Linked DNA regions of Macaca fascicularis. The protein of the gene in region 3 interacts with the protein of the main gene of each other region in a pairwise test. Links are inferred from orthologs where the notes say so. Each region holds a gene or a part of one and is shown on either strand. Other genes may lie near its edges.

What was found.
Region 1: the proteins of MAGED1 (region 3) and RBFOX2 interact in binary tests that used the Homo sapiens proteins (3 or more experiments, as listed by UniProt). The two-hybrid records come from large-scale screens. The link is inferred for Macaca fascicularis from reciprocal best matches to the Homo sapiens genes MAGED1 and RBFOX2.
Region 2: the proteins of MAGED1 (region 3) and KPNA2 interact in binary tests that used the Homo sapiens proteins (3 or more experiments, as listed by UniProt). The two-hybrid records come from large-scale screens. The link is inferred for Macaca fascicularis from reciprocal best matches to the Homo sapiens genes MAGED1 and KPNA2.

Annotation. Positions count from the first base shown.
Region 1 is NC_088384.1:15,622,234-15,625,980, forward strand, and holds the start of RBFOX2 (RNA binding protein fox-1 homolog 2), read left to right. Parts: upstream 1-1,108; 5' UTR 1,109-1,184; coding exon 1,185-1,370; intron 1,371-3,747. UniProt on the Homo sapiens protein: RNA-binding protein that regulates alternative splicing events by binding to 5'-UGCAUGU-3' elements. Prevents binding of U2AF2 to the 3'-splice site.
Region 2 is NC_088390.1:74,459,530-74,463,276, reverse strand, and holds the start of KPNA2 (importin subunit alpha-1), read right to left. Parts: upstream 2,777-3,747; 5' UTR 2,673-2,776; intron 1,396-2,672; 5' UTR 1,373-1,395; coding exon 1,298-1,372; intron 1,149-1,297; coding exon 1,011-1,148; intron 1-1,010.
Region 3 is NC_088395.1:51,964,760-51,968,244, reverse strand, and holds part of MAGED1 (melanoma-associated antigen D1), read right to left. Parts: intron 3,225-3,485; coding exon 2,556-3,224; intron 2,426-2,555; coding exon 2,362-2,425; intron 2,138-2,361; coding exon 2,058-2,137; intron 1,892-2,057; coding exon 1,800-1,891; intron 1,573-1,799; coding exon 1,493-1,572; intron 1,402-1,492; coding exon 1,359-1,401; intron 1,106-1,358; coding exon 1,043-1,105; intron 1-1,042. UniProt on the Homo sapiens protein: Involved in the apoptotic response after nerve growth factor (NGF) binding in neuronal cells. Inhibits cell cycle progression, and facilitates NGFR-mediated apoptosis. May act as a regulator of the function of DLX family members.

The DNA.
Region 1 (3,747 bases), on a different chromosome or scaffold from region 3:
AATGGAGATCATGGTATCTACCTATATTACCAGTTTGAAATGGGTCTGTGGATGCATTGTGCAAACCCTAAAACTCTTACAAACATCGGATATTAGTACTAACTTCATTAGGAATGTGAGTTATGTCAGAGTAAAAGCGCTCAGAGCTGGGGTGAACTACAGACGGGTGGCTTCATTCCTCGACCTTCCAATTCGAGATCTTTTTCCTTCTGCGGGAGGGGAAGCAGGCAAATAGCCTGCCTCTCACAGAGTGCCCATTCCCTCCCCGGGAACCAAGGTGCTCAGGCGGGTAAACTCAGGACACAACACTGTACAACTAGTCCCACAGGCAGGAGCCACTCCCTGGCCCTCGGGTCTCTCAAGCCCCGCCTGCTCCAAGCTACGGCCCCGCCCCAAAAGGAGACTGACCCCGCCCCCTCTGCGCTGGCCGGCACTCCTGCCGCGCGGAGCCTCCAGGACAGTCCCAGGCCCGTGCCGGAGATTCCCGAGCTTCCCCGATCGCTTCCCAGCCTCCCTCGGGCAGCTAGCGAGGAGGCGACGGAGATTGCCGAGAAGGGCTGGCCCCGCCCATCCGCAGGCCGCCACCGCCCCCCTAGCCATAGCCTCCCGCGCGGGCTGGAGTCCTACATCCCGGTCCCTCCCTCCCTCTTTCTCTCTCCCCGCCTTCCCGGTGCTGCCACAGTGGCGGGTCGGAGGATCCCGGCCAGTCAGCTCGTTCCTGCCTCGCGCCCCTCCTCCCCCCAAATAAACAGCCCTCCCTACGCCTTGGGAGCCCGGACCGCCCCCTTCCTCCCTCGGCCGGCGTGTTGTGAGGGAGAGTGTGAGCCAGCGCGGCCGGCGGGCGAGCTCCGGGAGTGCGAGAGGCGGGGCGGCGCGGCGGGCCGGGCCGGGTGTCGCGTGTGCGTGCGGGGGTGCGAGCGAGTGCCCGTCGCGACCCGCCAGTGGCCCCGCGCCGACAACCCGGCGGGCGGGCGGCCGAGCGAGCGAGCGGCCAGGCGAGGAGCTGCGGGTGCGAGCCGCGGAGGGGCGCGGAGTCCGCGCGCTCGCGCGCACGCACGCACGCACGCACGCGGGGGGCGGGGGCAGGCGCGCGCCCGCCTGTCGCGACAGTCGGGGCCGAGGCCCAGGGGGAGGTGGCCTGTCGCGGGTCGCCCGGCTCCCGGAGGCGAGGGGGGCGCGGGCGGATGGCGGAGGGCGCCCAGCCGCAGCAGCCGCCTCAGCTCGGGCCCGGCGCCGCTGCCCGGGGCATGAAGCGGGAGTCGGAGCTGGAGCTGCCGGTGCCCGGAGCCGGAGGAGACGGAGCCGATCCTGGCCTGAGCAAGCGGCCGCGCACTGAGGAGGCGGCGGCCGACGGTGGCGGCGGGATGCAGGTGACCGCGCGGGACGGGGCGCCCAGTTATTGCGGGGGAGAGGGGGAGTGGCGTGAGGGGCGACCCCGGGCTCCCCGGCTTGGAAAGAGGGAGGGCCTCCGGGGGTCCTGGGTTGGAGGTGGGATGGGGGGACCAGTCGGGGCCTGGTTGGAAGGTGGGGCGAGCTCGGGCTAGGAACGAAGGTTGCAGGACTGATCCTGGTGTGCCTGAGAGGGTCCTGATTCCTGAGGGGCGAGGAGGCACGACGAGTGGATAGGTTTTGGGGGGAAATCGAACGTGGTTGAGATGGATTCCATTTCTTCAAATCCTTCCTTAGTGCCCTGGGGTGGAGTGGAAGCCGGGAAATCCTGGGTTCTCTGGACGGAGTCGAGGAAGAGGGGATCTCGTGGGAAACCTCCCAAGAAGAGGGAGTACCTTTTGGCAGCCCTGGGCACCCGCTGGGATGGGGAAGAGAAGTGGCGTTTCAAGGAGAGGAGTGAAAAGCAAGAAAACTCCGAGAGAGAGCCCCGAGGGGATGTGGCTGAGATTGTGGGTTAAAACACACAGAGAGTGTGAGAAGTACAGGGAGTTTGGTAATGTTGTGGGGACACGGTGGTGCTCAGTCTCATTAACTTTGTGGAGCATACTAATGAGTCTGAAGGGAGACACCAGACATGTCCCTCCTGTTCTTTGCCAATTGCATTCTACATCTCCAGGACACAAAATAGCTCTTTAATGTCCTGGGCTATTAAAAAAAAATTTATAGGGCTATTAGAAGACTGGATTCTCAATTCTGGATTCAAAGATAAAAGTGGTTAATTTGGGTAGGGAATGGGAAAGGTATTGATGATGTCAGTTGACTTCATAGTTTTGAGGAAGACCTTGAAACCTTTGTAGGTTTTAGGGTTTGGTCTCTGCCCAGAAAATACTGCTATGAAATGGTGAGTCTCACCTATCAGCAATTGTGCAGACATGTGCCTAGTTCTCTCAGAGTCATAGGATGTTAGAGGGATGAGGAAGACTAGACATCTTTTCCAGGGGTTCTTAACCTGGACAGACTAGGAAGATTCTTACTTATAAAAGGTGATGTGCACTTTTTGGTGGCAGAGAGTCAATAATTTTCATCTTGGTTTTTTTTGGAGGGGATTTGAGTCCCAGCTTGTTTTAACCACCTTATTTTATAGATGGGGAATCAGAAGTCCAGAGAAGATGAGTGACTTGGGTAAGGCCACCCAGTTAGCTGATAGTAAAACTAGAACCAGAAGCCTGGTCTTCTAATTCCTATTCCTGTGCTGTCTCCATTACACCACTCTTGGAAATCTCTGCAGTGCTAAAAGACTTCCTGTGCTCTGCTCCCTGCTTTTCAAGCCTCTGCCTGACTTCCTGTGTTAGGGACGGAGCTGTACTTAAGCCTAGCGTATTTGTTGTGTGCTTCTTGGTCTCCTTTGCAGAGTTTACCCTGTTACTTGTGTTGATTTAGGTAAAGTGACCCTCTTGGTGTTTATTTTTGAATTCTTTTGTTTTGTTTGCCTGCTTTTATTTTCCATTAGAACTCTGTCAGGTAGAGGGATTGTGAGAAGTAAAAGCTCAGGGCCATGGAAAAAAAGACAGGAATATGGGAGACTGCAGGTGAGGTGAGCTAATATTGGATGGTAAGGAGGGAAGACTGGATATAGGTGCTGGTGAGCAGGTTCTACTTTGTGTGTGTGTGTGTGTGTGTGTGTGTGTATGTCTGTATGTATTCATTTATCATTTCTGTCAATCATAGTTAATAGTGAGACCCCCATCCCTTTCCCTCATTTACTCCTGGGGCCTATTATCTGCTGGTTGCCTTCAAATTGGCTAAAGATAGTGATATTCGGAAATGGAGCAATATGTAGGGACTTCACAGGGGTGTGCAGAGGAAAGAGTGGTTAGGTCCTTGGGGGTAGCTGAGAACTATCCCTCTGAGAATCCTTTTTTCACTCTGTGTATTTGTGGGTGTTCTTTGTTTATTTTCTTTCTATACATTTTTTTTTTTGCCCAGGATGGAGTGCAATGGCACGATCTCGGCTCACTGCAACCTCTACCTCCACCTCTGGGTTCAGGCGATTCTCCTGCCTCTGCTTTCTGAGTAGATGGGATTACAGGCATGTGCCACCATGCCCAGCTCATTTTTCGTATTTTTAGTAGAGGGGGATTTTCACCAGGTTGGCCAGGCTGTTCTCGAACTCCTGACCTCAGATGGTCCACCCACCTCAGCCTCCCAAAATGTTGGGATTACAGGCGTGAGCCACCACACCCAGCCTTCTGTGCATTCTCATTGTTGTAGGTCCATTCCCCTATGTCATACAGGTATTCAGATCATCACTGATTTAGGTCCTGCCTTCAACTAGCTGAGTGCCTGCAGAAATCTTTC
Region 2 (3,747 bases), on a different chromosome or scaffold from region 3:
CTTAGGAGGCTACCGTAAATATTTCAGAAGGAAAGTCCTGAACAAAGCTGGTGACAAATACAAAAAAAGAGAGAATACCAAAAAAGGCAGAAATAAACCAAAAACGGGCAGGGCCTGGTGGCTCACGCCTGTAATCCCAGCACTTTGGGAGGCCAAGGCAGGCATATCACGAGGTCAGGAGTTCAAGACTAGCATGGCCAACATGGTGAAATTCTGCCTCTACTAAAAATACAAAAACAGACCGGGCAGTGGCTCACACCTGTGATCCCAGCACTTTGGGAGGCCGAGGCGGGTGGATCACGAGGTCAGGAGATCAGAGACCTTCCTGGCTAACATGATGAAACCCCGTCTCTACTAAAAATACAAAAAAATTAGCTGGGCAGGGTGGTAGGTGCCTGTAGTCCCAGCTACTTGGGAGGCTGAGGCAAGAGAATGGCGTGAACCTGGGAGGTGGAGCTTGCAGTAAGCTGAGATCACACCACTGTACTCCAGCCTGGGCGACAGAGGGAAACTCAAAAAAACAAAACAAAAAAAAAATACAAAAACTAGTCAAGCATGGTGGTGCGTGCCCGTAATCCCAGCTACTCAGGAGGCTGTGGCAGGAGAATTGCTTGAACCCAGGAGGCAGAGGTTGCTGTGAGCCAAGATTGTGCCACTGCACTCCAGCCTGAGCAACAAAGCAAGACCCCGTCTAGGGAAAAAAAAAAAAAAAGAATAAACCAGAAACTGGTTGGCTCTGGACACAGTGGTCAGGTCAAGGTACCCAGTTAGCAGCTAGAAATGCAGGGAAGTCTGAAGGAAGGTCAGAGCTAAAGGAAGATCCTAAATCAGCTTCAGTGGATTATGGAAGGCAGGAAAGAAGACAATTACTAATTGGGAACAGAGAAAAAGATCTTCACAGATAGTTACAACCTAAGGCTAAAAATGTTAAGTTTACTGGAATTTCTAAGAAAAGTTCCTACTGATTTTCTGGATTTCACGTAACTCATAAACCAAAATACATTTTTTACCTGGTTGTTGCGGTTTTCCTGCAGCGGAGAAGTAGCATCATCAGGAAATGAGCTTACGTTTCTCCTCTTCAGCATCTGGTCATCCTTCTTAGCTTTCCTCAGCTCCACATTGACCTCTATTCTGCGACGCCTCATTTCCTTGAGAAAAGATAACATGCCGTTTCACCTATCACATCAGTTTTTGTTGCTAAGTGAGGGTATTTTTAAAAAGATCCCTAAGTTTTCACCCCTTTCCAAATGTCCTCCCATTTAAACACCACCACAGGAAAGCAACAGAAGGTACTCACTGTACTGTCTTTTCCCTTGTTCTTGAATCTGTGAAGACGGGCAGCTGGTGTATTAGCATTCTCATTGGTGGACATGGTTATGAGACAAAGGGAGAAAGCTAAAAGATGGGCGAGGAGAAAAATATTTCCTTTATCATTTTCCTTTGTCAATAATAGTACCAAATAAGAATTGAATTATCAAGCATCTACTGAATCCACACCTGTATACTAGAGGGGGGATCATCATGCTTTCAGCACTATGAAATAGCTTTACCCAAACGGGAACTGTCCCCCTTCCCTCTGAAGCGCTGAGACTTCCTGGAGAGGGCTGTCCATCAGAAATAGAATGCAAGCTATATAAATTGAAACTTCCTAGTAGCCATACTTTTTAAAAGGCGAAAAGAAACAAGTGAAACTAATTTCAATAATTTATTTTACTTAACCCAACATATCCAAATAGTATTTCAACATATATATTTCAATATATAAAATAACTGACATCTTTTACATTCTTTTTCCATACTCTATCTTTGAAGTCTTTTGTGTACTTTAAGCTTACAGCGTATTTCAATTTGGACTAGCCACGTGTGTCCACCGTTTCTGACAGCCTGGCTCGATACTCCAGAGTCCCTAATAGTTAATCCAAGGCAAAGCAGGGGAACCAAGTTAACTTACAGCTAAAAATTATGTGCCAGGGCAATAAATTCAGATTCTCAGGAGGCTCGCACTACTTTACTGTCTTTACTTGGCCAAAATAGGTGCAGATTCGAAAACTAAAAAAAATTTGCTTCATCATTACATTATGGTCAACATTAAAAATGCAGTGCCGCATGTCGCATATTTGATTTGCATTTCCAGAGACTAGGAGCGAATGCACTTAATTAGGACGACATCAGCTGTGCGTCATTCAGAAGACGACAAAAGTCAAAGCCCTCCTTACAATTTGCTATCTTTGCTTTCATTACGCTCGCCTACGACTTGGTGGCACAGCCACCCCGGGGCCAAAGTGTCAGAGACAGTGCTCCCAACTGCCACCCCCAGCCCCTGCCCCTGCCCCTACGTCGGGGAAGATGCAACGAGAAAGGGGGAAGCGAGGCCAGGGCCGCCACGAGCCCTCCCGGGACATTCGCCCTCAGGCCTGGCTCGCTCCGATTCTCCCGGCCGCGACGCGTTATGGTCTCCGCTGCCGTTTGAAGAGCGTCGGCGCCCTAAACCCGCAGACCCCGCGAAACTCAGCCGCCTGGTCAATGAACCAGTCGCCCCCGAGGCCTAGACAACGCGGGAGGCTGAGCCAGGCTCGGCGTGGACCCGGGGCCTCCTTCCCCCCACCCAAAGGCGAACGCCGCCCGCGGGCAAACCGTTAGCGCTCGGGCCGAGCCGCCGCCTGAGTCTGTACCTGAGAAGCGGGCCCGGGCTTCCACGGGAGGCGATGCGGGGAATCAGCGGCTGTGGGACGGCTGCGCTCAAAGGGTCCACCTCGACTCAGCTCAAAGACCGTGTGGCTCGTGCAGCCGGCCGGCGCGATTTAAATTTCCCGGTGACTCCGCATTCCGATTGGCTGGTTCGAGCCCAAGCTGTGTGCCCATTGGTGGATTTGAAAAACACGTTGAGAGGGGAGGGAGTCATAGGGCTTAGGGGCGAGTGGGAGGGGGGGAAAAAAAAAAAAAAAGGAGGATGGCATCGCGAGATGAGGGAGCAGACGGGCGGTTCCCGAGCGCCTGGCCGGGCGGAGCGGGAGGACTCCAGATCCCGTCAAGCAACGCGAAGGGGCGGTCCCTGGGCCGTTCGTGTTTCCACTGGATTGAAGCGCGCATGGTCCCTGGGCGTTTTCCTGGGCGAGAGCCTTGAACAAATACCGCAAAATGATTCTCAAAGTCATTATTTTAAAAAAACTTTGTTGTTGATCTTCATGAAAATTAAAAAATGATAATTAGTAAATAAGTAATCTTTATAGAAAGACATATTGCTTTGCATTTTTTTCCTGTTACGATATCCGAAGAACTTGGCAGGGGTTTCTGGCCACTATGGGAGGGAAGATTTATGTTATATTTTTTAGTTTAGTTTTTTTTTTCAATTGCGTCGTAAAAGACTGTATAGAAGCCGCAAATATAGTAACAAAATATTTCTTATTCCTGTTTCTCCAAACACTCAAGTTTTGTATTTTTAAATAATTTCAAATGCAGCAGAATTGCAAATCCTTATCCAGATTTGCCAAATGTTAACACATTTGCTACTGCAATGTCTCTATACATATATATGTATACCTATGCACATGTGTACCTATGTGTGATTTCAATATGTTACTTTTTGAAACATTTGAGAGTTTCAGAATCATGTCCTTTTTCCTCTGTTTCACGGTGTATCTCCTAAGAAAAGACATTCTCTTACATAACCACACTGCAGTCGTCAAATTCAGAAAAACTGAAATTTCATGCTGTTGTTTAGTATGTAGTCTGTGTTCAAGTTTTGTC
Region 3 (3,485 bases):
CAGCCGGGCATGGTGGCAGGCACCTGAAGTCCCAGTTACTCAGGAGGCTGAGGCACAAGAATTGCTTGAACCTAGGAGGTGGAAGTTCAAGCGAGCCAAGATTGCGCCACTGCACTCCAGCATGGGCAATAGAGTGAGACTCAGTCTCGAAAAAAGCAAACAAAAGAATTCGCCGGGTACGGTGGCCCACGCCTTAATCCCAGCACTTTTGGAGGCCGAGGCAGGAGCATCACCTGAGGTCGGGAGTTCGAGACCGGTCTAACATGCAGAAACTCCATCTCTACTAAGAAGACAAAATTAGCTGGGCGTGGTGGTGCATGCCTGTAATCCCAGCTACTCGGGAGGCTGAAGCAGGAGAATCGCTTGAACCCAGGAGGCAGAGGCTGCAGTGAGCCAAGATCATGCCATGGAACTCCAGCCTGGGCAACAAGAGTGAAACTCCATCTCGAAGAAAAGAAGAAAAGAAAAGAAGAGAAGAGAAAAGAGAAGAGAAGAGAAGAGAAGAGAAGAGAAAAGAAAAGAAAAGAAAAGGAAAGAAAAGAAAAGAAAGAATCTAACCACGAGGAGTATATGCAATAAATACTCCTGAGGACACACGTTTCTGTACGCACAGAAACACATATGCACAGGTACAGTGTAAGAAATGAGCTTCAGAAGGGCTTTTTTTAATTTTTTTTTTGGAGACAGGGTCTCGCTCTGTTGCCCAGGTTGGAGTGCAGTTGGCATGATCACAACTCACTGCAGCCTCAACTTCCTGGGCTCAGATGATTCTCCCCTACCTCAGCCTCCCAAGTAGCTGGGACTACAGGTGCATGTCACCACGCCTGGCTAATTTTTGTATTTTTTGTAGAGATGGGGTTTCGTCATGTTTCCCAGGCTGGTCTTGAATTCCTGGGCTCAAGGGATCTGCCCACCTGAGCCTCCCAAAGTGCTGGGATTACAGGCGTGAGCCATTGTACCTGTCCAGGAAGGGCTTTCTAAAGCTGACCAGCACACAGGCAGAATCATAGGGAGCAGGAAAAGCCCCTTAGGCATCACTTACTTTTGCTTTACAAACTCGTAGGTGAGAAGTTTCCTTAGATCTCCAAGGAGGGGATGTCTCACCCTGAAGGTAAAAAAAGGAAATCCACAATCAGAGGCTATTACTATGCCCAAAGAGCTTTCCAGAACAGAGGTCAGAGATGAGAAAAGAGGCAGAGAGTTCAGAACTGTTCCCCCATCCACCCAGGTTACATCTTTGGGCTCTGAACATCCCCAAACCAAACCCTCCAGACCCCCAGGTTAATGCAATCCTGGGACCATCCACTGTTGCCAAAGGATGGTACAAACGGGTAAGAGATGAGAGAGCCCAATCATACCCAGGACGCAGTCCCATCTTGCGTAGTGCCTCCCAGAGGACAGCTGCAATGGGAGGCAAGGGGAGACAAGGGACGGAAAATAAGCATGGAAATCAGGCTGTGGCCAACCCCCAGCTGCAGGTCCAGTCACTCACCCTCACTGGCACGGTTGCCATTCATGAAGATGACACCCAGAATCACCAAGAGGAGACCGAGCTTGGGTGTGTCTTTGGTCCTAAGGGAATATAGAAAGAATGTATTTTCAGCAGCCATTTGCATGAGAGACCCCAACCAGCTTACCCATCTAGCCTCCCCAGTATTCCTCAGCTAGGGGAGAATTATACCCCAGCTCTGCCCATGACCTGCTATGTGACCCTGAACCCTGGACCCTGATCTATGTGAAACTCCTGGAAAAAAAGCACCACTGAGAAAGGCCATGCTCCACCTTCTTTCCCATCTTACGTTCCCAGTATGCCAGCCAGGGACTCGGGGGTACTGATGAGAATATACAGGTGTTCTTCTTTGTCAATTTCTTTCAGCTGAATCCCAAATTTCTACAGGGACAAGAAAACAGACCATGAAATTACAACATCTAGCATAAGCTACCCATAGGCAGACACTCACCTCCCTGAGACTTGCCCTAAACTCCCAATAGGAACCCCATGAATCTTTGAAATCAACTTTCCCCATTATTCCTGTCCCCCAGGGCTGTCTTCTCACCTTCTCTAGGACAAAGCATGCACGTTCAATGATTTCTGGATAAACATCAGTGTATTCACGGATGATATCTCTCAGCATTTCTGTAGGAGAGAGGAGGGAGCCATCTGAGCCGAGTGGAGGCCACAGAGCAGCAGTCCCTTTGCCAGCCCTGCTGTGGGTAGCACAGTCAAGGTCCTCAAGGGTGAAAAGAGCCAACCATGGAAAGGAGGGGACAGAAGGGGAAGGGTCATACAAGCAGAAGAACACCAACAGAGCATGGAGTGAAGGGAAGGGTAGAGCTTGGGGAGGGGACACGGATGCCTACCTGAGCGCTTGATGGGCACCTTTGTGTAGTCCTTAAGCATCAAATACTTGACCAACTTATTTGCCTGGGAGGGAAAAAGGAAATCATTAAACTTATAAGATATTTACAAAAAATCTTGGTTGAATTATAGATGAGAGGGTGACAAAGAAAAGAGCAAGAGAGGGGAAAAGTGACTGGGGAGTTACAGCTCTTACTCTTTCCTGAAGAAGGGCCACATCTCGGGGCTGTGCAGCACCCGGGTTCTGTGAGGCACGCGAATTGGGGGAAGGGCGCAGGTTAGGCGAGGGGCGCAGGTTCTGCCAATCAGGTGGAATTGGCCAATCAGCGGGGATCCAGTCAGGTGGTAGTGGCCAGTCAGTGGGAAGTGGCCAATCGGGTGGCAGTGGCCAGTCGGGTGGTAGCGGCCAGTCAGGAGGACCTTGCCAGTCTGGAGGACCCTGCCAGCCTGGTGGGGTCTGCCATCCAGGTGGGGTCTGCCATCCAGGTGGATTCTGCCAGGCCAGTGGATTCGGCCAGACAACAGGGCCAGGCCAGACAATGGGGTTTGGCCAGATCACTGGGTTCTGCCAGATTACTGGGTTTGGCCAGATCACTGGGTTCTGCCAAGCAACTGGGTTCTGCCAGGCTGGTGGGGTCTGCCTAGCTGGAGGGCTCTGACGTGCTGGTGGGGTCTGCCTGGCTGTCTGGTTTTGCCAGCCTGAGGGGTTCTGCCAAGCCAATGGCGTCTGCCAGAGCACGTTGGGGGGTGCGCCAGGTGGGTTCTGAGTGGTCACTGGAACTGGTGCAGACCTCCAGGTCCCTGCAGCCAGTGGGGCCCGCCTCTGATCCCCACTGCTGTTCTCTTCAACATTCAAGTTATTAATCTGTATCATCAGAGAGAAGAAAAGTTCAGAATCACCAGTGGGTTCTGTGTCCTTACCTTATCTATTCCAGGAATGCCCTCTAAACCCTCACCTGTAGTGACAGCCTGACCCACTAGCCATTGGTCACCCTGAGTCCTGGGTTTGTCTTTCACTGTCTTCCAGGCAGGAGTTTCATCTCCGAACCAGGTCAGGAACAAACCAAAGATGGGGACTGAGGCTTCTCCTCTTCCTATGTCCACCACTGGCTCTGTCTGTACCACC